Tamandua tetradactyla: one gene and its partners. The protein of the gene in region 4 interacts with the protein of the main gene of each other region in a biochemical or structural test. Links are inferred from orthologs where the notes say so. Each region holds a gene or a part of one and is shown on either strand. Other genes may lie near its edges. The genes, in order: GUCY1A2, MAS1, ADRB1 and SNTA1.

Region 1 (7,477 bases), on a different chromosome or scaffold from region 4:
ACAATATTCCATGATATGACCACTGATAAAACTCAAGCTTCCCTGGCAAGCACAGGTTCTCCTGAAGTAGATAGTATAGGAGTTCAAGAAAGCTCACACACTCAGAACTAGAAGTTCCCATCTAAGAACGTCCTTGTCATGGCAATTCTCAAAGGTTAAAAAAAATTGTCTGGCTCTACTGAGAGAGAATAAACAGGACATAATTCATCTCTATTGTCTCATTTAAAGAGGTTTAGAACTCTGACAGTAGAGAATTAATCTAATGGAACTTTTTGAGGCAGTGTTCTAGATTGTGAAAACAAAGAAAATAGGATGGGTACCATTTAGAAAAAGTCATTGCTTTGAAACTAATCTATTTTCTTTGCATCACTAAATCTATTGATGGCATGGTTAGCCAATGAGAATTTATTTAGACATGGATTCTGATACTGAAAATGTGTACACTGTATTTACCCGTATGTTCCTAGCACTTCATCTAACACACCCTTTTCAAAAGAAAAAAAAAAAGAATTACAGCATGGAAAGTATATATAACTGTTCTGTATGTGTGTGTGTGTGTGTGCATATGCATGTGTGGTGTATATATATACAATCGTTGCAATTATTTTCAAATTCCTCATCCTGAAAACTGTTTTTATCCAACAAAAAGCCAAATTCATTCAAATTTTATTTAGAAAGGTATCAATCAGAGACTATTTCCTCACTCTAAATCTTGCAATAAATACACTAGTTCAGTTTATTTTTTTCTACTCTTCATATAAATTGTTGAAAATAGTCTTAGGCCAAATTGTCATGATCAGAGGCACCATTACATTTGTAAATTTTGGTTCTTAGGACCAAAGAAACTTCAGGATTAGAAAAAAAAGACTAATCAATATCTTTAGTAAAATCACTGTGTCAAAAATGAATCTGTTGTACTGAAATAGCATAATACGCAAATGCTGCCTTAGGTACTGACTCCTTGTGTTCAACAATTTTGCAACAGCAAAGAGTTCCTAAGACTAGTTGCCTGGGAAATATTTGCAGTGAAGAATAGCAAATAGTAGCCAAATCATCTTCTTTTTTTTACATGGACAGGCACCGGGAATCGAAACCGGGTCTCTGGCGTGGCAGGCAAGAACTCTGCCTACTGAGCTACCGTGGCCCGCCCTAAATTATTTTGAGGTTTGTTTCCTAGGTTATCAATAAAAGAAGTGGGGGAAAGGTTAAATTAAAAGGAAAAAATGCACAAGAAGAGGAACATGACACCGCTCACGAAGAGCATTCTTCCTGAACGCCAGGACCACAAGGACATTGTTGGGATTGTCTGGTACCAGGATCCAGTCTCAGGGTCCCACTCCTCCTCAGATCCCTCCCCCAAAAACGCTAGCGTACTTTCAAAGGGGAGACAGAGAGTAGCTAAATCAAGATCGATGTTCAGATACGTTTTAGAAACGTGGAGGAAGAAAGAGCCCCAGTGTGGGCAGGTAAAAGTGCTGTCAGGAATTATAGTCCTTGCATCCAAGGTCAGGGTGAGGATAAGAGGCAGACAGAGGTTTGACAATGAACAGAGAAAATGAAAGGTGCAGGTTGGCAACATTTCCACCTCCTTCACATTCTGTCTGCAATAGAATGGATGCCTAACACTGAGCTCACTTAGGGAAAGCCTGGAACAGAGGTCTGGCATTCCTGCAGACGGTGAAAGTCAAGGGTGGCTGACATGTCTCGGCAGGAACCACGCCAGCGGGCTCTGGAAGGAGTGCCTAGAACCAAGGAGTCTGGTGTACACTTGGGACTGCTAAAACAGATATCCCCAAATGAGCACGAGTTTGAAGACACGTAGGAAAGCACTTATTCAATCAAAAACTATATATGACGGGCCTAATATAAGGAAGGCATAAAGAATTGAGGGGGAAAGCACTGGAAAACCCAGGGAAGGGGGAGTGAAGGATGAGGTAGGGTGCAAGAAGTCCCCGCGAGGTTTAGAAAACCAAACACCAGTTTAACCAGAAATGAAGACTGGGGGTTAAATCAGTAAATGCCCAGTGAGTTATTAAAAACAACAACAATAAAACAAAACTCTGAGGTGGGGGGTGGTGTGCAAAACAGTTCAGAGGGTCCTTCAACAGAAGATAATTCATGAAAGTGTCCGCCAGGCAGTTCCAAAAGATTTGAGAAAAGCGATGCAACATAGTATGCCGATAGCCTGTGGAATTCAGTGTCAGAGAAGGTCCAGCTAAGACCAACAGAGTGTGGGAAAAAAAGAGAGGAAGCGTATCCTGGAAGTGCTGGGGCTCCTTTGGGATGCTGGAAAACAGAGATGAAAGACCTGGAAATGGGAACTGCGGGACAAAGTGACTGGGAAAGTTTGAGGGAAAGAAAACAGGTGGGTGCGAAGGAGCACCGGGGCCGTCAAGGGTGACAATGATGAAGTAGGGCGCAAGGCTGGGGGAGGGCAGTCAGGCACCCCTGAATCCGCAGACCCGGGAAGGGAAGAACGGAGGCTTCACTCCTTTCCGGTGCTCTAACACCCCTTCCACCAGCGCCCTGGGACTCGGCTCTCGCCCAGGGTCGGAGACCCCAGGCCCGGCGGGGCGAGGCCAGGCCGCCCCCCAGCGGTCGGGCTCTGCGCTTACGCCCTGGCTCGCCGCGCGCCAACTTTCCCGAGCCCCTTCCTCTCTCCCGAAGCGCGGCCCCTCCTGCCGCCCCCCGCTCACCGAGGGGGCCGTCAGGCGGCTGATGCTCTCGCCCAGCGAGTCCAGGTTGACCCGCCTCCGGCGCTGTGCCCTCCTGGCCCCGGCCGTGGCGGCGGCAGCGGCGGCGGCGGAGGCGGCGGCTGGGAGCGGGGCGACGGCTGCGGCCGCGCTGGGCTCGGGCGGCCCGGGCGGGCTCCGGCTGCCGTTCCAGCAGAGCCTGGACAGGGGGCACTCCCCTTCCTCCTCGGGGCTGGTCTCCAGGTAGTCGGAGCCCAGCGAGCTGAAGGACTCGGACGAAATCTTCCTTCGAGACATGCTGCCGGCGGTTCTGCGGCGGCCGAGGCGGTGGCGGCGGGGACGCGGGCGGCGGCGGGACCGGCGAGCCGCGGCGTTAAGCGCGTCGGGGCCACTGGGCGCTGCGGTCGCGCTCGCCGGGGCGGGAGTCCCCTGGGCCGTGAAGCCCCTCGAGCCGACTGCTCATCGCGGGAACTTGGGACGCCGCCGCACCCTGGGGCCCGGGCTCGGCGGCGGCGCCGGTCTGGGCTGGGGGCCGCTGCCGCCTCTGCTGCAGCTCGTACGGCGCCGCCTCAGCGCCCGCCTCGGCGGATCGCCATGCGCTGTGCGCCGCGCTCGGGTCGCGGGGAGGCTCGGAGTGTGCGCCCGGGCGGCCGGGCGGCGAGGGTTGCGGCCGGTGTGGTCCACAGCCTGAGGTTTCTGCTGCTTGCGCTCCTATCTCACGCCTTTACCCTCTCTCCTCCCGCCCCTCTCCTCCTGCCTCTCCGCTTGCTCGCCCGCCTTCCGCCTTCTCCCTTTATTCCCCCCACCCCCAAGCTCTCCCTCCGCCGGTATCACGTGTCGCCAGCATACTCATTGGGAGTCTCTGCCTCTCCTATCGCCACGTTTCAGGAGCAACGAGGACACTTCGTTGCAGTCCTCTGCGCGCTCTCCCCGCTCCCGCCGCCCTCTGCTCCACTAAGGAGCGCCCAGCGGCTCTGACCGCATGGAGGGGCCCCAACCCCAACGTCCTACTCCACAGCCCCGGAAGAGGCGTCCAGGGAGCAAACGGGCCCGGGACTCAGGAGAGGAGAGGGGCGCAGGGCCCAGAGGCAAGGGAATTCCCCCTGGAGCCACCTCCTGGCAAGCCTGAGGACGCTAAGTGGAGGGTTAGGGTCCTTGTTCGCCCTTTCCCCGCCTTCCTCCGAGTTTAATTAGGAAGTTACGCGGCGCAGGCGAAAGGCCTAGCGCCGACCCAGGAGGAGAAGCTTACAGAGGAAAGGAAGAGCAGGGGCAACATGTTGGCGCTCCTCGGGCTGGAACAGCTTGCGGGAACGATTCCCTCCCCCTTGTTCCCCTGCGGGCGAGGCCACGTAGCCGCGCAGCGAACCCAGAGATGGGTGGCAGTGTGTGAGGACAGCGACTGCTCGGGCGACAGCCCTGTTGTTGAGCCTTGGCGGGGAAGGAAGCTCGGGGCGCCGGGCTTCTGCCCGCGGCTGATGGGCTCCGCATTAGTGCTGGACAGCTCCTCTTGCCACCTGCAGCGGCTTTTGGCCGCGTCGCGGGTGGGGGAAGTCCGGCAGTTAAGCTACAGACTTCGCTAGCTAGGATCCGGCCGGCGGTAAACGAGGGAGTGATTCCTAATCTCTCGTCTGCTGGACCGTTTGCGCCAAATGTACGATGTTTGCACTTGTCTGGAAATGCTGCTCAGAAAACTAAGGAGAGTGGGAAGAAAGGCTTTTCAAAGCCCAAGAGCAGAAACGCCACAGTGAGCACATCTCTTGCTCCGAGTTTGTGGCGAAATTGCTTCATTCCAAAGCTGGCACCCTTGCGATCTCAGCGCCCAGCCCCTCTGCTCTGGCTTTAGCCCCAGAAAAGAGTCGCATTTCTCTAACCTTAGGGTAAGAGATGGGAAGAAGGGACAAATAAGAGTATACTAAAAGAGTGGTCCGAGGCTTCACTTCCCCCTGCTACAAAGCAGAAGAGGGTCCCCCTCAATATCCCCCGCGCCCGGAAAGAAAAGTTCAGCACTCTGTCTTTAGTTCCCCGGCGACACAAAAACCAATGCACTTTCTAAAGGACTGGTCTTTCCAGCTGAAAACAGGTGGGTTTATGGATTGAATTTGTAAAGTTAAAAACGAAAGACAGAAACAAGAAAATAAAAAGAAATACTTTTGCTGCATCTCCATCCCATTTCGCTTTCAACTCTAAAATCTTAGCATTGTTAATGAAGACCCAAACAAATGTAATTTTTATCTAAGGTGCCCTTTTATACTTTAGAAAAATCCAAACTGATTCAGAGAAGTGCCTTATTCCCAGCTTAAATAGATGTAAATGGTATGAAAAGGTATACTTTCATTTATATGCTCCCCTTTCTCAGCCTACTAAGTGTCTAACCGCATAGCTAGTTTTTCCTCTTAGCAGAAAAAATTTGGTATAGGAGGTGCCTCATTGAAAGTACTACTACTAATAATAATAATAGTAAATTTGTATTGTGTTGCGTATCTCCTGTAGATTTCCTGTGACTTCAATTAATTCCACAGTCATTTGTTTTCACTGGATTTTAGACACAAACTACACCTTTGTCATAAGGAATAGTTTTCAATTCTGCTGAAAAGTTTCACTGGCCTTTGTTTCTGAATTACAATGGAAGAGTACTTTGAGAATTACATAATTCCAACCTGGGGGAAATTGTTTAATATTCTTGCTGTGCAGTATCAATCATGACATAATAGGTTGTAGTTCCTACTTCTCTTATTTAGTAATGATTTAATTGTCAAGTTCTCCAGAATCATAGAATTTTAGAGCTTTTATTAGAATATTAATTAGCATATGCCCTTTGTATTCTTTCAATAAAATATTATTGCACCAAAAAAATTTTATTATGGTAACGGTAAATAACCTTTTCATTGAACTTAGAACTGGAACTAACCGTTCCAACTTATGTTTCAAAGTTAAAATTAGAGTGCAAGGCAATGAGTGTTATTTGCTTCTAAAAGTTCTAGGAGGTCCAAGAGTCTTCCTGTTTACACTGAAAGTTTATTGCCAGAAAGAACTCTGAACCTATGGGACATTTTTTTCTTTGTGTGAACCATTTGAACCAAAGACTTTTCACAGACGCTAAACAGATAAAATAATCTTAAAGCTTTCTGTATGAATTACTCTGCTTTGATCATGATTTTCCCACCGATTTTTAAACTAGAAACATATGGAGGCCTAGCTCTAGATAGTACATCGTCCACATTTCTTTCAAGGGGTTCCTTTGTATTTCTTTTTGGGAATCAAGTTTGAAAGTTCTCAATATGAGGAGCACTATATTCTATACTTGAATTAACATTTTTAAAGGAAGAATAGCATATCCTCTATTTTTTATAAAAGAGCCTTAGAGTTGGCAAAAGAAATCCAAGCACCTTAGTCAAAGAGTAGTCCACTAAAAATGAATAACCTGTGCCCAGATTTTAGGAAATGAAAACCCAGGCCCACAAATCCAAGCCCTGCTGGGTATATTGTGTCATACAATGAAGTCCTTAAAACCCAGTCTGGTATTGGGAAGAAAAATTCAGGAATGTACTTGGTTCGTGATGTCAGTGAGGGCAGTTGAGGACTCAGTTCAGATTGATCAATATTGGGAAAGACTCCTTAGAAAGCAGATATACTATATTAGTCAAATTGGTGACTATTATTCCTTTAAACATAAAACAACTGTCATACATACCTCACCTTCATATAAAGCATTTCTATTCAATAAGCTTTTTTCACTTACATTGTGTCATTTAATTTTGTCTTCCTTCTTCACAGAGAAGTAAAGAAAAATTACCTCTGTCAAATTCAAATAAAAACTGCAATCAGTCTTCATTCCCAAAGTCTTTTCATTTCAGAGTACCAAACTCTTTCCTAATTTCTTTTCATCCAAGTCTCCAGAAAAAAAAAACCCTGCAATATCTGCATAAGTGCCCCCTGGAGCAGAGATCTTCCGTGATATAAGAAGACTAAAGAAATTGCCCCCTATAGTCAGTCTTTATGAAACCTGGCAAATCACAGGGATTTAAAGGTAACGTCATAATAAACTCTCTGAAGAAATATTCTTAACTAGAGCAAGTTTTTCTGGATTCCTAACCTAGAAAATCACACACATAAACACACACACGTGTTCCTCACCTGCAGGTTTAATCCTGTGTGCATGTTCCCTGAATGAGAGCTGCTTCCACCTCCCACTTTAATACCCCTGTCTTTTAAAAGAGGGCAAATGTACTTTCTTGGTAAAAGATGGTTACCAAAAAAAAGACTAGAACTACAAAATTATGCAAGAATATGAAACATGGTAAGACTGAATATTAAGAATAATATCAAAGTGAAAATAGCCATATATTTTGTCCATAAATAAAGAGATGCATGGAAGTCAATGAAATACATCTTCCTATGGTTATATATCATCATAAAACCATCTTCAAGGAATAGGGTACTTGCTGGTCAGAAGGAGGAGAAGAAGAAAAAGGAGGAGGTGGGGAGAAGGAGAGAGGGATAAGGGCAGGGGTAGGGGTAGATATAGACAAGCAGATGATGATGAGGAGGAGGAGGAGGAAGAAAAGAAACAAAAACAAAAACCACACTTAGTAGAATTTGTACCGAAAAAATACTTCTAAGTAGGATGGCTGCCTCCTTTTTTTACAATTATTTTTATTGTAGCAATATAGACACAACTCAAAAATTTGCATTTTAACCACTCCCAAGTGTATAATTCAGTGGTATTAATTATATTCATGATATTGTGCTATCATCACCATCATTTCCCCAATTTTCATCACTTC
Region 2 (6,391 bases), on a different chromosome or scaffold from region 4:
CATGGTTTGGCATCTTACATCTTCTATAAAATACCCCAGCTCCTGGGGAAGACAACTTGTAACTTATGTAACAGAGTGATTTTATATTTATAAAAAAATTCTAGCAACTCAAAAGAAATAAACATAGGACATGAACAACATTCACAAAAAAGAAACACAAATAACCCTTAATATGAAAAAATGTCCAATTTCATTATCAAGCAAATAAATGCAAATTAAAACAAGACACCCTTTTATCATCTATCAAATTTAGGAATTTAAAAAAAATGGAGATTTTGTGGGGAGGAAAAACATTAATGCTTTGAATTAAAGTATTCAGTTACTGTCAGTGGCATTATAATTGGTTCAGTTAATTTTGAAAGATGCTTTGCCAATCTGCATTAATATTTTGGAAAATGTTTATATCCTTCGATCAAGCAATTCCACTTTTAGAAATATGTCTTAGGGAAATAATTAGAGATTTGCATCAATTTTGCATCCAATTAAGTACATCGCAGTGTTTTGTATTTTAAACAATGGAGGAAAATAAAATTTTAAAAAAGGTGAAAAAGCAGGAGCACTCAGTCCAACATAGGGGATTTATTAAAAATAAATTATGGAAAAAAATAAATTGCGGTACATTCAAATGTTGTCTATTAAAGCCATGTTTTTAGAGCATATACAGACCTAAGGGAATGTTTACAATATCATGTTGAATAAAAAAAGCAGGATACCCAAGCAGATTATAAAATGCAATCTCCATTTTGAAAAAGATGTGTGAAGGCATTGAAAAAAGACTGGAAAGAAATATCCCAAAATGTTAAATCAGGCTAATTTTGAGTAGTGGTTTTATTCATGATTTCCTTTTAAAAATTTCCAAAATTTCTTCCATGGATATACATTAGTTTTACAATTAGACTAAAAGAGGCAATAACATTTAAAAACTAGATACCCCCATTTTAGGATTAAACAACCCATAAAATGTGCCCTGCTTGGGTGAACAGTTTTTTTTTCAGTGCACAAATCCTTTTGCAGGGTCGGGTGTAGTGTTCATAGGTACCTGCAGACTGTGTGTTTAAGTCACAGGGGAATTTGAATGCAGAGGGCACGCAGTGATCTGGCCCCATGGTTGGCAAATGCGCAATTAGAAAGGAAAGAAGTCGAGAGATGAAAAAAAAAATCCCCCATGACACCAGGGTGTATGGTGCCTTCAGTGTCTTAAGCAGGAGAACTGGAAAGCATTACACACAGAGGCAATCAAAGGTAAGGTCTTAACTGGGAGACCAGCTCAGCTTTGAGTGAGAAGTCGGGAGACCTGGATCTCTGCACAACTCTGTCGTCAAGATTCGGGTGAGCTTGCCGGCGGGTGTGGCTGCTTCTTGGGCCCCGGGAATGCCCTACGCAGTGAAGGAAAGGCTGTTGTGGAGCCCTTTGGAGTGGTGCAATGCAGGGGGCCCCGAGTGTGTCCTCGTTATTAATCCCCCTGTAAAATGGGGACAAGAACCCTTTCCTTATCAGCCTCCCCGGGTAATTTTAAAGATTCCAAGCTGGGATGGAAGTGAAAATGTTTTGGACTCTCAAGTCCTACCCAATTGCATTTGGATGCTCCAACTTCTTTCTTTCTCCCCAGGAATTTCTTTTAGGGGAAGGGACAGAGGATGGGAGATGCTCTGTGATGCTCCAGTAACCATGCTGTCACCTACAGTCTCTCTTTTACTTTTTTGCCAACTGAGGTTCCTCCGCTGTCTTCCTGGCCACGTTGGGAGGCACACGAGGCCTTCAGGATGAACTCTTCTTCCGCCCAGGACCATCAATGCCAGGTAAACCTGCATCGCTGCAAATCCTATTGCTGTGTGACAACAGAGCTCCATAAACAAACAAACAAACAAAAAGATTTGTCTGTGTGGATCTACGCTGGGTTGGCACAGAGGCAGCAAAGCATTCCCAGTGATGAATTTTGTGGTTCAAATGCTTGCCCCGTCTTGGCCGTGTTTGGAGGACTCAACCGCGTGAGATTTTGCTCTGCTGTTGGGGAAGGATCACCGAGCCAAAATGAAATTATTCTGAGCTAGACTGTTTTGTCAGCTAGCAGCAATTACCCTTCTACTGTCCTCACCCTTCCCCGCCTCAAATATCCCAGTCATCTGCCCACGGAGCTGAATAATGCACAAAATGACCAAGGAGCCTGGAGGAGGAAAGGGTTTGGGGGTGGGGAGGATGCGGGGCCAGCTGAGCTCTTGTCATCTGCTATTTCACTCGAGAGACTGAAATTCCATCTTACACCCTCCGCCACCATGCCCTGCTCCCAGCCACCAGCATCTGGGTAAGTGCAGTCACCTCCCTTCTGATCTCCCTCTCTCTGCCCCCATGGCCTAGAATCTAATCTGAACACCATACTTCCCACCTCCCTAGGAGCAGTGGCCATGAGGCCCCATGAATCTGGCCCCCAATACCTCTCTGAACACATCGCCTAAGCTTCAGCTCCTGCTTATTCTACGGGAGCCACACCAGTCTTCTACCTCTTCTTCAAAAATGTCTGGCGTCTCCCTGCATCTAGACCTCTGTGCTTTCTGTTCCCCCTGCCCGGACCACTGCTCCCCAAGAATCTGCATGTCACTCACTTCCTTCCTGTCTTGCCCCATGTGTAACCTTATTAGTGAGCTATTCCCCATCACTCTGTATAAAATAGAAACCCCACATCCCTGTTACCCTTTATCCTTCTAACTCGGCTTTACTTTTCTCTAGTCACACTTACTACAATCGGACATGTACCATATTTATTTGTTGTTGTTGTTGTTATTTGTTATTTGATTATCAACTGCCTGCCTGCTAGAATATAAACGCCAAGAAGTCGGGGCTTTGTCTATTTCGTCTACTGCTGTATCCCAGGTGCCTAGAACCATGCCTGGTGAAATCACACTGAATACATACTTGATGGATGAATTGAGGAAACGTTCTTCTTCCTTCCTTCTGGGAGTGCTGCTGTCCTACCTAGAAACTTCTAACAGAGCCTGGTGTCTCCAGCAGGTCTTTGACCAGCCATGTCATGGTCTTCTGAAATCGTTCCTTCTGGAGGACTCTTGAAGTTATCGGTGGTCTATATCTTTGGTCTACTTATGAAATGAAAGGAGATTTGCCCCAGTGAAAATAATGCCCAGTACCTTGCCAAGGGACATTTCTGGTCTCCTGAAATCACACCTCTGGGGAGATAATTATGCATCTCACCAACCTGAAGTCCGCCCTGGTGATTCAGATTTCAGATGCAGTTGTAGGGACATTGTTTTGTTTGCTAAAGCTGCAGGAATGCAATATACCAGAAATGGGTTGACTTTTAACAGTGGGGATTTATATAGTTACAAGTTTTACAATTTTAGGGCTGTGAAAATGTCCACATTAAGGCATCAACAAGAAGATACCTTCTCTGAAGAAAGGCTGCGGGCATCCAGGGTTCTTCTGTCAGATAGCAAGGCATGTGGCCAGCATCTGCTGGTCCTTTGCTCCTGGGTTTTGTTGCTTTCAGCTTCCAATTCTGATGGCATCCTCTCTTTCTCTCCAAATGTCTGTCTCATAAAGGACTCTCAAAAGGATTAAGACCTACCTTGAATTGGGGGGGGGGGGGTCATATCTCAATTGAAACAACCTAACTAAAAGGTTACACTTGCAATAGGTCTGCACCACAAGCATGGATAAAAAGAACATCGCATTTTCTGGGGTACATGACATCTTCAAACCAGCACAGACATCAAAACTGGGAGCTCTGTAAATACTGGGGATCTGATGATCCAATTTTGGAAATGCTTATTATCATCAGAGACATTCAAACTCCAACAAAAATGTCACATCTATGTACTGTACCAGCTTCAGGCGACCTTATGAGGAAAAGGCACATAACTAATTTTAACAAAAGGTTAATTATTTTGCCCAAGCAGGGACCCTGGTCTGCAAGGTTCCAAAAAAAGCAAAGGACAACAAATAGCCCTGGAATAGGGGAAATGATGTCTGGCAGCTGCCTCTCTTTTCCTTTCTCCAATGGTAGAAAGCGGTTTATGTATGTTTGTCATATTACAGCAGGGTGGGGTGTGTGCATATATTTATTTTACAATTAGTAAAGTATGAGGGAAAGTTTCTGGGAAATTTTGCTTTGCAGCTTCAAATATTTAGCATTTTTCTTGGTTTTGGGTCAGTCTTATGTTTAATGTCTGCAATAATGTTCTCTTTCTGTTTTCCTGCACAGCCTTGTCTACGGTATGTGGAAATGTAAATACATCTCGTTAACACTTGCCATATGTTGTGCAGAGTGTTGGTTTGCACAGCATACCTAGTCTGAGTAGGTGCCCAGCTTTGTTGTAGATACTGAGACCATATGAAATAAATATGTTTTAATTGTTCACACTTTAAAAATATTGAAGCACTACTAAACATAATTCTCATTTCCTTTCATAATTTGCTCACTGCTTATGACACTTAATGTATTAAAAATGACAACATTGCGCCGATATGTGTTTCTTGAATTACATCCCAAAGCAGTCACCCTGGTTCCTCAGGGGTCGAAATGGAGATACAGAAGATGAAATAACTTTCAAAAAATCCGTTCAGGAAGCTTGGACCAGAACTGGAAAGGGACACCCCTTGCTCTGCTGTATCCTTTTGTGGCACTGAGCCATAAGTAGTAATAATAACTCCAGGTCAGGGTTATTGGCAGGGGGCGTGGGTGTCCAAAAAGGCCTTTATAGAAGTTCTCTTGTTTGGTGAAAGAGAATTGTACGGCCTCTTAAAACATTTGTTTTTTATAACATGAGGGTTGTCATGGGTAACCGAAATTCCCCTTTCTGTGCCAGTTCCCCATTTCTGATGGTCCTCTTCCGACTCTGTTTACAGGAAGCTAACCAAGGCGCCCCAGCCCCAGGCCTTCTCATGGGTGAGTCAAACGTCACCTCGTGTGTGGCTGAGGAGCCCGGGAACGCCTCGGCCCCCAGGAACACCTCCACGGGGGCCCTGCGCCAGGAAATCCCCATTGTGCACTGGGTCATTATGAGCATCTCCCCACTTGGGTTTGTGGAAAACGGGATTCTCCTCTGGTTCCTCTGCTTCCGGATGAGGCGGAACCCCTTCACGGTCTACATCACACACCTGTCCATCGCCGACATCTCCCTGCTCTTCTGCATTTTTATCCTGTCCGTTGACTATGCGTTAGATTACGAGCTCTCTTCTGGCTATTACTACACAATTGTCACATTGTCGGTGACATTCCTGTTCGGCTACAACACGGGTCTCTACCTGCTCACGGCCATCAGTGTGGAGCGGTGCCTGTCGGTCCTGTATCCCATCTGGTACCGATGCCATCGCCCCAAACACCAGTCAGCCTTCGTCTGCGCCCTCCTGTGGGCACTTTCTTGCCTGGTGACCACCATGGAATACGTCATGTGCATTGATAACGGAAGACAGAGCCACTCTCGAAGCGACTGCAGGGCAGTGATCGTCTTCATAGCCGTGCTGAGCTTCCTGGTCTTTACCCCACTCATGGTGGTGTCCAGCACCATCTTGGTGATCAAGATCCGGAAGAGCACATGGACGTCCCACTCCTCGAAGCTCTACCTGGTCATCATGGTCACCATCATCATCTTCTTCATTTTCGCCATGCCCATGCGGCTCCTGTACCTGCTCTACTATGAGTATTGGTCCACGTTTGGGAACCTCCACCACATTTCTCTTCTCTTCTCCACCATCAACAGCAGCGCCAACCCCTTTATTTACTTCTTTGTGGGCAGCAGTAAGAAGAAGAGGTTCAAGGAGTCCTTAAAAGTGGTCCTGACCAGGGCTTTCAAAGACGAAACACAGCCTCGGCACCAGGAACACAGTAACACCATCGCCGTTGAGACTGTCGTCTGAGCAGGGGGCGGGTGGAGGGAGGCTGTGGACAGAACCAGAGGAACACTGACAATTCTCAGTTTGTGCTTTGGGACACAATGTGAGTATCTCTTAAATATGATACAGAAGGACATGTACATGAGATGCCAATGGTGAGATTGTACCCTTGTGCCGTGTCCTCTGGAAATGCCTAAATTCTTGTCAGATCTCTATCATCATTTCTGTATCTTTCGAAAACCCCATTTCTGTTGCTCCTCAGCAATTCTGGCAGCAACCCCCCCCCCCCCATGAACTGTAAAAACTCCTCCAGTGGGAAGATTTACAGATGTGTTCCCAAAAAGCTAATGGTGTTTGTCGGAACTTGAGGAAGCAAAGCAATGTAATGGGAAAAACAGGGGTTTGGGGGGTCAAGTTGATGCTTACCACCTGTGTGTGACCTCAGGCAAGGGAATTAGCCTCTCAGAGCCTCGTGTCCTCATTTATAAAATGGTCATAGTAGTAGCACTTACCTTGCAGGGTTGTTGTAAGGAAGAAAGAAGGGATG
Region 3 (7,396 bases), on a different chromosome or scaffold from region 4:
TGAAGATACACAATCCCCAAAATGTTACTTAAGTCAAGTGCAGCAGATGGAATCTTGAAAACGCCTACAAGTAGTCTAGAATACTTTAAATCCGGCTGTGAAAAATTAGGGCGAATCTGCAGCGCTCAGTAGGGGCAAGTATATTTGGTCTAAAAGCACTTTGCTATGTTATCGAGTCATGAAAAGCTATTCAAAGAGCTATATCGGAAATCCGATCTGTATTTTGAGCAAAACACGCTGTCTTTTCCACTATCACTGACCCCTTACAGGCACATGGTACATAATCTTGATTGTGCTTCATTGGTATTTATTGCACATGGACCAATTCCTCACACAGTAGTTAGTTGCACCAGAGTATAAATACTTGGCAAAATATGCAAGAGGAAATAGAATTTACACACAAGTGCTAAATTTTACCAACATATTCACGTGGGCAATTAGACATAAAAAAATTAAAAAAAAAACCCTTAAGATAAGTATAGTTATAATATGGATACAATTACAGTACCATGATAAAAGAGTATAAAAAGATATTTTACCAATAAATCATTAGCTCAATAATATAATAGACAACAGAAGTAGAGTTTTAACTTTTAGCTTTTAAGATGCACCCCCCTTTAAAAATATTTAATTTCCCTTTGTGCAAATAACATCTTCTGTGGACTTTGTAATTTCTAACACTGTGCAAAAATGGCATTTTGAACTACTCCTTGTTTTATTTTTTATTTTTATCCAAATGTACGGTAATCTGTTTTGATATTAGAACTGTTTCCCCCATTTTTTTTTCTTTTCTGTCCTGTCTTCAATTGACAATCACATGTTATGGAGGCTCAGTGCCTGGTCCTTCCGACTAATATTGATACATAAATAGGCTGTTTAATATAAACAAGTCTTTTAGCTTGCTGTGCAATATGCACAGCGTGAGGTAGAAATCCCAGAGCCTGACCCCCGAGGCACGGGGGACAGCAAGTTTGCCCTACAAAAGGAAAGCAAGGTGAGATTTGTTCCAAGAATAGCTTATTCTTGAAACTTGATTTTTGCATCCATCCTTTCTCTTTGCTTTAAGAACAGGGGATATCATTACTTGAGAGTTTGAGAGAAAGTTCTCTAGAAAGCAAAAAGGAACATGTTCTGACAAACTGTCTCACGCCCCTCCCCTCCCCCTCCCGGGCCATAGCCGGGTTGACTGTGCTCTTGTTCCTGAGAACAGATGGAAGCTAAGTTGATAGACTTTCATCCCTATCCCTACAGCTTCTCCTTTCCCCTCCCACCCAATTTGCACTCAGGTCTTTGCAGCAGGTGTGACCACCTGCGAGGGGGAAAAAAATCTAAGATGCATTACAAGCACAAGCAAAAGAAGGCCGAACCACGAACAGAAAAGAATCCAAGAGAAATCAGCAAGCCACTTTCCCACCCCTCCCAAACTTTCCTTTTTGTGCAACGGTCCGTGGCTTTTCTGTCTGTCTCGGATGATTCAGACGAGGTTTGTGGGCTTTGAGTTCACCTGCCTTCGGTCTTGAGTAAACACAGACCTTTTCTTTTCCCTGGGAAGCCATTCGGGAACGCTGGGTCTTTCCTCCCCCGGGGTGCAGACTCCACGTCCCGGCTAGAGTGGCGGGGAGCGGGCCCTACACCTTCGAGTCCGAGGCAGAGCCCGGGCGGCTCGGCTCGTCCAGGCTCGAGTCGCTGTCCATCGCCGCCCCGCCGTTACAGCCGGCCCAGGGCTCCAGCAGGCGCGCGGGCGGCGCGGCCCCGACGTCGTCGTCGTCGGAGGCGGCCCCTGGCGACGGCAGCTGCCGGGTCACTGCCAGGCAGCCGGGGGTGCGCGGCCGGTCGCCGGCGGCCGCGTGGCGTCTCCGGGCCGCCCGGCGCGCGCTGCAGAGCAGGCCCTGGAAGGCCTTGCGGAAGTCCGGGCTGCGGCAGTAGATGATGGGGTTGAAGGCCGAGTTGGCGTAGCCCAGCCAGTTGAAGAAGACGAAGAGGCGGTCGGGCACCAGGTCGCGGTGGAAGGCCTTCACCACGTTGGCCAGGAAGAAGGGCAGCCAGCAGAGCGTGAACACGCCCATGATGATGCCCAGCGTCTTGAGCGCCTTCTGCTCGCGTAGGGCCACGAGGCGCGAGGGCCGCCGCTTGCTGGTGCGTCCGTTGGCCAGAGGGGCGGCGGCGCGCGGGGACCCCGGCGAGCGGGCGGGCGAGGCTGGCGGCGCGGGGCCACCGAGGAAGCGGCGCTCGCAGCTGTCGATCTTCTTCACCTGCTTCTGGGCCTCGCGGAAAACCCGCAGGTACACGAAGGCCATGATGCACAGGGGCACGTAGAAAGAGACCACGGACGAGGCGATAGCGTAGGCCCTGTTGGTGACGAAGTCGCAGCACTTGGGGTCGTTGTAGCAGCGGCGCGCCTCTTCGCCCTCGGCCCGCCACCAGTGCATGAGGATGGGCAGGAAGGACACCAGGGCCGAGATGGCCCACACGGTGCACACGAGGGTCCGCGCCCGCGCACGGGTCAGCAGGCTCTGGTAGCGGAAGGGCGACGTGATGGCGAGGTAGCGGTCCAGGGCGATGACACACAGGGTCTCGATGCTGGCCGTCACGCACAGCACGTCCACCGAGGTCCAGAGCTCGCAGAAGAAGGAACCGTATTCCCAGCGGCCCCACACCACGATGGTGGCCCCGAACGGCACCACCAGCAGCCCCATGACCAGGTCGGCGCTGGCCAGGGACATGATGAAGAGGTTGGTGAGCGTCTGCAGCCGCGGCGTCTTGGCGATGGCCACGATCACCAGCACGTTGCCCGCCACGATGAGCAACACGATGAGCGCCATCAGCAGGCCCATGCCGGCCGTCCACTGCTGTGACAGCGGCGCGGGGACCTCGCTCAACGTGGGCAGCGGCGACGAGGCGGGCGACGCGGGCACCAGTAGCCGCGCTGCAGTGGCCGCACCGTCGGGGAGCGGCGCGGCAGACGACAGGTTGCAGGGCTCGGAGGCGCCCAGGGCGAGCGCCCCCGCGCCCATGCCGAGCTGCGGAGGCCGGGGGCGGGGTGTGTGGCGGGGCTGGGCCGTGGCTGGGGGAGTACCCCAGAAGCCGGGGCGGCGGGGCTCGCGGACGAAGGTCGCGGCCAGGTCAGCGCAGCCGCGGCGCAGGGCCCGAGGCATCGGCGCGGGGCGCCTTCTCCGAGGGAGCCGAGCGTTGTCGCCGCCGCCGCCGCCGCCGCTGCTGCTGGAGCCGCTGCCGCTGCTGGAACGACCGCCGAGACCTCCGCATGTTTCTGAGCGCGCCGGCCCGCTCCTCCGGCACCCAGCACCCACCCCACCGGCTCCCACTCCTCCAAGCCACCCCCGGGGCATCGCGTCAAGCTCCCGCAGCCAATCGAGGCAAAGGCACGCCCCTATCTGGTCCTCCCCAGTCCCCGGCACCTCCCTCTCAGCGCTTTGGAGCGGCTCGGGGAGGGGGAGTAAGCTGCTGAGCGCTGTGCGAGCGCCTTGCTGGGGTTTGCCGGGTCCTGCGCACGCCTCGTCCCGCACCGCGGGCCCCAGCGCCCAGTTTCCTGCGCCCCCTACAGCGCCCAGCTCCTGCGCGTTTCTCAGCCGGCTTCTGCGGCTCCCTCTCCCTCCAGTATTCCGCTCCCGGCTGCGTGCGATTTCTGCCTCCCGCGTTCGGCTTCTGTCTGCACTCCCGCTGCCTCCCGCCCATCCCTTCAGTCCCCCCACCCTCCCGGCGCGTCCTTTACCTCCAGCGCCCGGGTCTCCCGCAGAGCATCGCGCGCACTCCCTTTAGCCGGGAGGGAACCTCCGTGTTCTTGAAGCGCCACAGCTCCTCCTCGGACAGTCTGTCCGCTGGGGTTGGAGGAGTTTGACTGCGAGATTGTTTCTCAGACAACCCAGATGGGTGTGTGTAAAGCCCTTTCCTTGCCAAAAGGGGACCTTGCCAGCCTGCGTCCTGCCAGCTCGGGGAATCAGAGGCAGGTGTAGGTGGTTAGAGGAAACTTTCCAGCCGAACGCGTTAAGCAAACCGCTCATCTGTCGGAACGCTCTCTGGCGCTGTTCTTGCAGGGATCTTCAGTCGTTTCAGTGCAGTAGATGCAGAAAGGAAGCTAAGGTTTCTGCTCCTAACAGCTAACGCTGAGGATCAATTGCAAAAACACACACTCCCCAGTCCCAGCTAATGAATGTGTGAATATGCCGCAACAGTGTGTGTCGGTAATATAGAGAGATTTAGAGAAACAAATGTTGACATAAAAAGTAAATGGCACCGCCGTGAAGAAAGAACACATTTAATTACATTTCAGACCTTTCACATTCAGTAATGACACCTGTATTTTGTTTTTTATTACGCATGTGATTTCATATTGGAGCTGAGTCAATACAAACAAAAAGGAACTGCCAGTTTTGGTTGAAATAATGACCTGAGACTTCAGATTTCTTGGTCTGAGCCATCTTTTCTCCTGTGCCCAAATTCCAGATTCTCAAAACTCTAGGATTAGTCCTGGAAGGATGAGAGAAGGAAATATGTAAATATTCAAGATGATTGAAAAACGAAAGGATTTAAAGCTGTAACAGTAGGTTTTGAATTAGCAATTGAATCAGCTTGACATGAATGAGCTGTTAGCTGAGCTGTGTGGGGATTATATGAAGGGACAGACAGGATTGTCACCAATACAAGCCGGAAGGAGACTGCAAACCCTTTCTCTAATTTGGATCTGGTAATGTCCTCAAATTAAAGATCTTTAATTAAATCTTTGAGAAATAATCAACTTCTAGTTTTCCATGTAGGGGTGCATGAAAATGGTATTCAATGCTCACACATCTTTCTAGCACTGAAATTTTAAAAACAGCTTCTGGAAGGAACATCAACATCTAGACCAAACATATTCTTACCTTGCAGAGAGATGCTGATTTCTACAACTATCCAACTCAAGAGCAGAAAATAAAGCTCATTAACTTTACAAAGTCAAGCAGTTTTTAACTACTTTCTCCGAAATCCAAGCATATAAATTTGCTTTTGATTCAAATTTGATATTCAGAATGTTATAACCAGGGAGTGATTTATTTGTTTATTCACCCCTGCCCTAGTACTGTCAATCTGGGGAGACTGAAGAAGGGAAACAAGGAAACAAGAGGGGCTGGAAAGAGGAGAGGAACAGGCTTGAATTCTTAGTTACCCAAGTCTTTTCAAACTGAGTCTCCCCTTCAGGCACCTTTCAGAACCTCAACGGACAGTCTCAAAATAGCCAAGGAATTGGAAAGGGTTGAAATTGATGCTGCCCAGGAAGAGGGTTGAGTGCCTGGCTGCTGGGTGAGGGTGTGGGGAAAAAGCTTTCCATTGGGTGCCATCTTTTTGTCAAGTGGTGCTACCAGAATAGAGAGTGTCAACCTTAAGTGCCCCTGAAGGGTGAAGGAGCTGCATTTCTGGAAGAGATAAGGCCAGACCTTGGTTGTGGACTTGCAGTGAAGAACTGTGCAAGGTAAGGACTCTCCTGCCTAAGTAAATGTATAAGCACACCATGTAGCAACTTGAATTAGTTTTCTTTTAAAATAAAATCTTCCCAGTGACCTTTAATTCTTATATTTCATGGCTTTTTTGATCTTTTTTTTTTTTTTTTGCTAGATTTTTTTGTGCTTAGATGAAGACACAAGATAAAGAGGAAAAGGTTCAGCGTTTCAACTTAGACAGGTATTACATGTTTGGGGGCTTGCCTCTTCAAAATGAATAACTCCTCTATCTCCCCATTCCCATCCATAGCTGTTAAAGAGAATCTGTTCCTAGGAACCCACATATTTGGCAATACTTCAGAATATAGCAAAGCACTCCAACAATAATTCCAATCAGCACACTTAAGAAATAGTGTACTCCTTCCTCCATATTCCCTGCCTCCACCTCACCAGACCTATCCCACCGCCATCACCTGTATTTGAACTTGTGGGTTCTATTTGGCCTCCCCCCTGCATTGAATCCAGCATATCATAGTCTAATTAATGTTCTGAAAGTACTGCTTTGACTAAGATGCTTCTCGGTTTAGAAACCTAACTTCTCAACTTGGCTTTCAGAGATCTTCACAGTCTAGCCACAAACTTCCTTTCCAGCGCTCTCTCTCATTAGAACGCTCTACATCAGCTTAACTTGCAGTTTCCTAAGCTGCTCAACCAAATACCATGCAGTGAGTAGGCTTCAACAGTGGGAATTTATTAGCTTATGGTTTGAGGCTAAAAGAAAGTCCAAATTAAGGCATCATCAAGACAGTGCTCTCTCCCCAAAGACTGTGGCATTCTGGGGCTGGTTGCTGGTGACCCTAGGTCCTTAGTTTGTCACATGGCAAGGCATAGGTGGTATTTTCTGGTCTCTCCCTTCTCTTCTGGGTTTCATTGATGTTCAGCTTCTGGCTGCTCCCTTTGTGACTCTCTCTCTGTCTGAATTTCACTCTGCTTATAAAGGACTCAGTAATAGGATTTCAGAGCTGTCCTCATTGAGGTGGGCCACAATTTAAATGAAAGAACCTCATCAAAAGGTCCTATTTACAATGGGTTCCACTCCCACAGGAATGCATTAAATTTAAGAGCATGTTTTAATGGGCTACAGACAGCTTCAAACCACCCCAGTACTCTTTCCTTTCCTGCATCTGTGCTTTTTCTCCCTGGGTTCCTTCCACCAAGAATTCCCTCTTCCATGTCTGCCTCAGTGAATTCAGCCTTCAAGATCTGACTAAGGTCTTCTCCTGCTATCTTCCCTGACTACTGCTTCTGGAAATGGTCTCTCCTTCCTCTGTCCTACAATGCTTAACTATGATTTTTGCCATTCAGGAGGCAATTAGCAATATATTGCTTTTTGAGATCTCTTATATTGCTATCTTGTGTAATTTTTACATGTTTTTCTCTTGCTTTCTCATATGGATTGTAAGTTCAGTGAGAGCCAGGACTAGCCCACCCATTTTTATAGCCCCTCAAATTACTAATATTTATTTTTATTAATTAATATTTAGTACTGGTTCACAAATATTTAATATTTAATTTAATAATGTATATTCATACTTATGAGAAATAATTGTTTTGATTGTTAAAATATTTACTCATGCTTACCATTCATAATAATAAACCTTTAGCATACTTGATATTTTCATATAAGCATTTCGAAAACACTTTACAAATATAAGAGAGGCTCATGAGAAAAATTTTTGTCATACCTATTTAGTAATGAATGAAGTAAGGTATAGGCAAGGGGCTTTCTAAAGGGGCCAATACGAGATCACAGTAATAAAAAGTATTACCTTATCTTCACAAACGATCAAGATGAAGGGAATTTTTCCCTCTGCTTTCATTTACGGTATTATATACCCAGCCATCTCTGCCCTGGGAGAATAGCTAATGACTTGAATCTGGTGTCAAGTTCTATATCAAATTAA
Region 4 (7,036 bases):
CCAGGGAAGAAGTTAAACACACATGCACACCCACTTTTCAGGGCCCTGGGGACCTCAGTGCTTACCTTCTAGCACCACCTCCTTGCCTGCCTTCTTAAGGACCTGCACTGCCTCATCGTGGCTGGCAGAGGACAGGTCTTCCCCATTCACGGACAGGATGGCGTCCCCCACAAAGAGGGCCTCAGTCTGGTCAGCTGCCAGGCCCTTGAAGATCTTGGAAATGAGAATGGGCATCTTGTTCTCCCGGCCCCCTACACAGGCACAGAAGGAGAAAGAAGGTGAGGCAGATGCTCCAATGCTTAGGAGTCGTGTCAAGGCAAAAGTATTTATTGAAGGCCTCCCAGTGCTGGAAAAGGAGCGGGGGGAATGTGGAAGACTAAAGAGAATCTCAGAACAAAGGAGCCTTAGAAGCTTGGGACACTTAGCTAGTAAGCCGCAGGGCCAGCATTTGAACCCAGTCAAATGTGGGCCCTCGGATATCACATTCCTTGTCCATCCCCAGAGATGAGAAGATGAAGAACTAGCTCCCCAGAGAAAGGAACTCATTGTTACAAGGTCACACGCCAAATTGGTGGCAGAGCTGGGGCTGGAACACTCTCCTGACCTCCACATATACTCAATAGTTTGTTCATCATGCTGCACAGAACTTAAGGCCTAGGGGGAGGAAGGAGTTTCTATTTATCTCTATCTTCCCCCTCCTAAAACAAGGGATTCAGTCCAGTTTGAAATATATGGTCATTCCTATCTGCCCATGGCGACAGGAGCCCATGGAACTTGCACTTCCTCTGAAGCCTCCTAAAAAGACCATCACCCCCATCTGGAAGTATGCAGCTTGAGAGTAACTTTATGTGACCTTGGAAAGTCCCTGCTCTTCTCTGAGGTCTCAGTTTGTCCATCTGCAAAATGGGAGAGTTGGCACTAATGCAAAGTGTTAATAATAGGAGAACATGTGGGAATTCTGTATGTTAGGCACAATTTCTCTGTAAACCTACAATTTCTCTAATTAAAAAAAAAAAAGGAAGGGTTGACCTATATGAACTATAGATTACAACCTGCTCTGACAAGCTGAGTGTACCATTTCTGGATTGGCCCTGCTGCCCTATGCCATGCTGGAGGTTGGGAACAAGACTGGTACCTGTCCCTGGTTTCACCACTTTCCCCTTTTAGACATCTTTGGTTGGCTGCCTGGCAGTTTGCCTTTCCACATGTAAGTATCACCCTGGGCAATCTCTAGGGAGGACATGTGCCTGATAATTGAGGCTCTAATCCTAGCTCTGGAGCTAACTATGTGACCCTGGGCAAATCATTGCACCTTTCTGAGCATCCGTTTCCTCACCTGCAAAAAAATGGGATTATATTCCCTATCTTTCAACACTGGTGCCAGGATGAAGTGGCTCATGAGCCTACAGTACTGGGCACAGCACCTGGTACACAGTGGTGACAGTTGCCACCATCCCCAGCCCCAGGCTAAAGGATCTGGAGGCACCAGTGAACAGAGTTAGCACCAGGGAGACCCAGAGAGGGGACAACGTACATTCAGGGTGAAACAGAGACTGACACCCTTTTCCGTGGCAGGTAACACTTCGCCGAGAGCTGGGACCCTAGGAAGCAGACAGGCAGGACTGGTGAGCTCAGCAGCTGGAGGTGTGCAGGGAGTTTAAACACTGTGATCAGTTGCTTTAGGAGCCTCTCCTGACCTCCATTTTTCCTCTCAAATAACAGCGATAATTAACTGGGCCCCTACTATGCGCTGGCAGGGTCAGCACTTCGGACTTCTGTGCTTACAGAAATAACACAACTTTATCATTATCCTCGTGCAGTTGAAGAAATTGAGGTTCATAGATGGAAAGCGGATTGTCTTAAGTCCAGAGTCCTAAATGAGTCCCCAAAGAAAGCCGTCCACAGGCTGGGAGCTCAAAGAGGAGTACCAACTCTGTGTCTCCCCTTTCAATCCTGTGCAAAGTAGAAAGGGTCAGATCACCAGATTCAAACCCAGATGTCAGGGCTCCCTGCCTAGGCAAACAGCTGTCCCGGGTCCTCAGATTTCTGCATCCTTTCTGGCCCGTCTGCGACTCCAGCCTGTGCCTCCACCCACGGGCCCTACCCATGCACGTCCTTCCCAAACTCCCTCCACCTTGGTGTTGTCTCACGGACTTGCTTCTCCTTGCCTAAGTAGTGTCCCAGGCCTCGACCCCTTTCTCCACCCTCTGCTCTCCTGGGCCCCTCTTGTCCTTGGTGCCCGTGCTAGCTGTTCCCGCAGATCCCTAAGCCACCACATAGAATTCCCCACCCACGTTTCCGTGGTGCGCCCCAATGCCCTCCACACCTACTCCGTCGGTGACTTCGACTCCCAAAATCCCATGTCCCTGGCTCCCCACTGTACTGTCACAGACCCCAAGTCTCTGACCTTGGAGGCCCCCGTGCGCCTAGTGGCCTCAGAACACCCCCACCCCATACCCTCAAACCCAAGGCCTCCCTATTCCACGGCTTCCGTTCGGCACCAGTCCCCACGACCCCTGCGTCGTCGGCGGCCTCACAGACACTACGACTCCGTGCCCTCGGTGCCCCCGCGCCCACCTTTGATGCTGATGCCCAGCCCACCGGCGTCAGCCTTGCGCACCGTCACGCGGCGCCGCTGGAGCAGCAGCGCCTCCGGCAGCTGCGGGGGCGCCGCTCCCGGCTCGGCGGCGCCGTTGAGCTGCGAGGGTTCGGGCTCCCGCGGGGCGCCGGGCTCGGGACCGGGCTCGCCGTCGGCGGGGCTCACAGTCAGGGCGTCCTCCGCCAGACTGAGCAGCACCCGCTGCCACCGCTCGCCGCCGCCGCCGGGGGAGCCCACCCCGGCGCGCAGTTCCAAGAGCCCGGTGCGCGGGGCGCGCCTGCCTGCCGCCATCTTCGCCTCCGGGCCCCCGCGCCGCCGCGCTCACTCTGCCCCGCTGTGCCCGGCCCGCTCCGACCGAGCACCCAGGGCAGAGGGCAGCTGGGGCCCGTCTGGGCCAGCAGCCACCCTACCCCGGGCCGCTGGGGGTGGAGTCTCGAGGGGGCGGGGCTACGTGGGTGTGGCTAACCGCAGAGGGCGGGGCCTTGACACCTCGCGGGAGGCTGGGCGAGGTCAGACGCCCAAGGGAGCAGAATAGAGCTACTAGAGGGTGGGGCCGTAAGGCCCGGGCCCCGAAATAAGCCGAGGAGCTGGTGAGGAGCGGATGCCCAAGCGGAGCCGTTCAGGGGGCGGGGCTTCATACCGAGGCCAAAGGCCAAGATTCCTGTGAGGGAGACTCAACTCTGGTCAGGGCCGTCGAGGCTCTGGGCCGTCGCTCACAGAGATGTGAGCACAAGAACAAGGGAAGGACCGTAAGGCCTAATGCGAAGCTTTGGGCGTAGGAGCTGAGGACACCAGGGACAGGGCTTGAGTTTAAGAAGTCGACAGCGAGCCGCGAGGCATAACGCAGGTGTAGCTGCTAGTGGGCGAGCTTCGGAAGAATCTCGTTTCCGAGTTTGGCGCGGGGCATTTTGGCATTGGGGCGTGGTTTTGTGTGGGCGTGGCTTCTGGTGCTTGCAGGCCCCGCCCACTGGGGCTGACCTTGCAACTGCTGCCTTTAGGGCTTGGCGAACGGGTGGGCATGTTACCCAGTTAAAAACTGAAGGAGACTTTAAGAGGCTAATGTCCTGCAACTATGTGATGAAACTGTGAATTACTGATTATATATGTAGAACGGAATGATGATGTATTAAGAATGTTTTTGTCTGTTTGTTGTTATATTTTTTAATTAAAAAATTAATTTAAAAAAATAAAAAGAAACAAGGTAAAGTGAACAAAGGGAAGATACGTATGGTATTAGCCACTGCCGCTACTGATTAAAACCCTGATAAGTGGGATGGTAATGTGTGGACAAAGCAGATAATGGAAAAAAAGCAAGTATTTTAAATTAAAAAAAGCTTGTCAGATAAAACAAACAAACAAAACCTTGTAAGCCATTAATTACCTGGATGGTTAGAATTGCTGATGCAGGGGCTGAAGGAGTGGTGCTGGACTATGCTGATTGCATGAAATTTACAGAAATTAGCACCAGTCCCTTCATACAGACTGCTTTTCAGAAGTTTAATCAGCAAACTGGAAAAAATTCTAACTTGCTGACATTGGCTGCACGAAGATGCAATAAGCAATGCCCTGCTAACAGTATGTGGCCATGAAATAATCGACCCTGGTACACTTTATAAAATGGCAAAGCTGGGAAACATGGGAGACTGGAATACAGGGAAAGGAAAGGCCAAAAAGTATATATATATATGTACATTATATATATATGTATGTATATAAAATGGGAAATGGTTTCCCAAAACCAGTAATAGGATTTCCCACAGAGAAATGTTCCAAGGCCTGCTGGAAGCTAAGGTTAACCAAAAAAAATTAATGTTTTGTCAAAGAATTAAATTTTTAAAATGTATACAAAAGAAATGTAAACCAAGTTATGATCATAAAATGAGTAGTGCTCCTACTCCTGGCAAGGCAGAAGACCTGCATCCAGCTCCCTTGGTACCGCTATACCCTCACTTACTCCCTTTCTTCCAGACAAAGGATTAAGCCAAACCCCATTATCTTTGATTCCAAATTTGTGGCTCCCCTTTGGTTTAATGTTTCATATTTTTTAAACTTGAAAAAGCTGTTTAATATTATGAAACACCTTGCTTGCAAATTTTATCCGTACAGAGTTTTAAAAATCTTTATTCTGTGCCATCAATCCTTATTTTAAAAAATGTATATTAAGGTTTCAAATATGCATTAACTAAAGCATTTTAAATATTGAACATTATTCTGACAAATTCAATTTTAATAGTAATTGTGTGTGGTAAAATATTTGCTTTAAATAATGACTTAAGTATGAAGGATATAAAAGATATGCTTTTACTAAAAGGAAAAGGAGAGTAGTTTTGCCCTCACATAAAATAAATGGCTGTTACAGAATAAAAAATGTAAGACAAAGCCTGAACAAATATAATAAGTTGCCAAAGGTTTGTAAAAAAGGAAATTATGGTCAAAATCAGGGAAAGTTTAAGGTGAACTAAAAGGGAAGGTGTTAAAAGCAGTACCCAAACTCTTTAGCATCTACGCTCCCTTACCTGAGATTAAGCCAGGAAACATGGTATGGGTAAAAGACTGGGGGAAAAAAAAAAAATGGGCTCCCTGCAGCCTCAATAGGGTTGGTCCTTAATAGAAAGGTCCTTACCATGTTGTTGTAAGTAACCCTAACAGCCATCAAAGCCGTGAAGATCATCCTATGAATTCACCACTCTCAGGTCAAAAGGGCCACCACAGACAACCCCTGGGAATGCACCCCTTATCCTGAACACCTGACACACATTGTTCTCCGGGAGCCACTGCACTCCCTCTCCTTCGCAGCTGAGATCAGCTGACCAGCCCACAAGTAAGGCCTGAGTGACAATCGTTGCCCTGCTCTAGCTCACCAGAAGCAGCTAGTCAACACCCAGCTGAAGCCTGAGGAGATCTCCGAGCCCTGCCTCAGTCACCCCGGAAGCTGACTGATCTGCGTACAGCCGAAAATTAAAGAATCAACACATGGCCATCCCAGTCTGCTGGGTCTGTGGACTAATTCTCTTTTTTTGCTCTTCACGTTTGTCTTTTGTTTAGTGGTGTTAGCCCGCCTGAAAATCAGTCCCCTGGAGTTCTTCCCGAAAACCAACTTTACTCATTTGACAGAATCCCTCTTACCCAGCTAACTTCCCCCTTCCTAGCCGCTGCGCAGAGTGAGTGTCTCCATTCCTTCCCTGAGGCTAATTGTACATTTGTGTGGTGGCACTCCCCATAACCAGCACCATTAGCCTCACTCCTTTGTATCTGCTTGACATGATCATAAGCCCTTCCAAGGGGGATGATGCATGCCAGGCATGCTTCAAGACTACCTATGTTAGAAAAAGATAAGAACTATAACCAGTATTCATGCCAGGGCAGTTCTCAAACATGAATTATTCTGTATGCACCCTAAAGAAAGATGCCTAGTATGCTATAATCCCACCACACCGGGTTCAGTACTGCTATCTTCACTACTCTAGGATGGCAAAACTGTAAAGGCCTCCTGGGAACTGGGGCTAAGTTTATCTCTTGCCCAAAGCTATAAGCTAAGCCCTCACTGAAAAAAAAAAAACAAAAAATCTGGGTTCCCAAAAACATTAGACCAAAGCTGATGCCCCGCCAGCAGGTAAAGGAATCCCAAAGCAGGTGCTGGGCATAAAGGCCAGGGTACATAGGCTGTTAAAGAGACAGATCAGACCCTCTTGTGGGGGGGGGGGGCATTGCCCCTTCCTCACTTGCACACCTCACATCACCCTGCTTGGCCCTGGAAGATGGCTGGTTAGCCAAAGACGGGTAAGATTCCTCAGGGGAGGAACAACCTAAGACAGGCACAGTCACAAAGGGGCCATCAGGAGAAAATTTGAGGCCAACAGCAGCGGGGTACAAACCCTCACCACCACCCCCCAACTTTGCAGGGGCCTAAATTCTGCATGACTACATTCTTTCCACATCTAGCTCAGATTGGGACATATCAACACTTGCAGCAAAAAAAAACACACAAACAAACAAAAATGAAATATAGGTGATGCTATAACCCCTCCTATAAGTTGGGGTAAGCATCAAAGGGGGAAATGTAGCAGGCAGGCCTCTCCCCACCCACCCCCCACTCCCTGCTGCTTCTTCTGGTTCAGCTGCCTCCTCTGTGGAAAATCCCCAAACCCCCTCTCCTGACCTTCAGGAATGGGTGAAACTGCAGGCAGGTGAGATAAGACAGCTGGGATGGAGACTCCTTCCTTAAGGATGCATATGCTTCTGTGACCTAGGTTTGTGTCCTTCTCAACTTAAACCAGCCAATCATTTACCTTATCTTTAATATGTCATCCTGTCTATAAAAACTAATGTTAACCTTTTGTTCAGGGCTCAGACTTTCAGAGCTACTTGATTGAGCCCTATGGCCATAGAAAATAAAATCTACTTCCTGAAAAAAAAAGTAGGCTAATGTCCTATTCC

Evidence for each region.
Region 1: the proteins of SNTA1 (region 4) and GUCY1A2 interact in a test that uses a peptide from one of them, tested with the Homo sapiens proteins (3 studies listed by BioGRID and IntAct, with this or other methods). The link is inferred for Tamandua tetradactyla from reciprocal best matches to the Homo sapiens genes SNTA1 and GUCY1A2.
Region 2: the proteins of SNTA1 (region 4) and MAS1 interact in a test that uses a peptide from one of them, tested with the Homo sapiens proteins (2 studies listed by BioGRID and IntAct). The link is inferred for Tamandua tetradactyla from reciprocal best matches to the Homo sapiens genes SNTA1 and MAS1.
Region 3: the proteins of SNTA1 (region 4) and ADRB1 interact in a test that uses a peptide from one of them, tested with the Homo sapiens proteins (2 studies listed by BioGRID and IntAct). The link is inferred for Tamandua tetradactyla from reciprocal best matches to the Homo sapiens genes SNTA1 and ADRB1.

The regions. Positions count from the first base shown.
Region 1 is NC_135334.1:35,005,901-35,013,377, reverse strand, and holds the start of GUCY1A2 (guanylate cyclase soluble subunit alpha-2), read right to left. Parts: upstream 3,013-7,477; 5' UTR 2,991-3,012; coding exon 2,697-2,990; intron 1-2,696. UniProt on the Homo sapiens protein: Has guanylyl cyclase on binding to the beta-1 subunit. Isoform 2 acts as a negative regulator of guanylyl cyclase activity as it forms non-functional heterodimers with the beta subunits.
Region 2 is NC_135337.1:63,731,719-63,738,109, forward strand, and holds MAS1 (proto-oncogene Mas), read left to right. Parts: upstream 1-4,893; coding exon 4,894-5,868; downstream 5,869-6,391. UniProt on the Homo sapiens protein: Receptor for angiotensin 1-7. Acts specifically as a functional antagonist of AGTR1 (angiotensin-2 type 1 receptor), although it up-regulates AGTR1 receptor levels.
Region 3 is NC_135339.1:76,002,098-76,009,493, reverse strand, and holds the start of ADRB1 (beta-1 adrenergic receptor), read right to left. Parts: upstream 3,015-7,396; coding exon 1,629-3,014; 3' UTR 1-1,628. UniProt on the Homo sapiens protein: Beta-adrenergic receptors mediate the catecholamine-induced activation of adenylate cyclase through the action of G proteins. This receptor binds epinephrine and norepinephrine with approximately equal affinity.
Region 4 is NC_135327.1:19,571,619-19,578,654, reverse strand, and holds the start of SNTA1 (alpha-1-syntrophin), read right to left. Parts: upstream 3,022-7,036; 5' UTR 2,891-3,021; coding exon 2,578-2,890; intron 252-2,577; coding exon 66-251; intron 1-65. UniProt on the Homo sapiens protein: Adapter protein that binds to and probably organizes the subcellular localization of a variety of membrane proteins. May link various receptors to the actin cytoskeleton and the extracellular matrix via the dystrophin glycoprotein complex.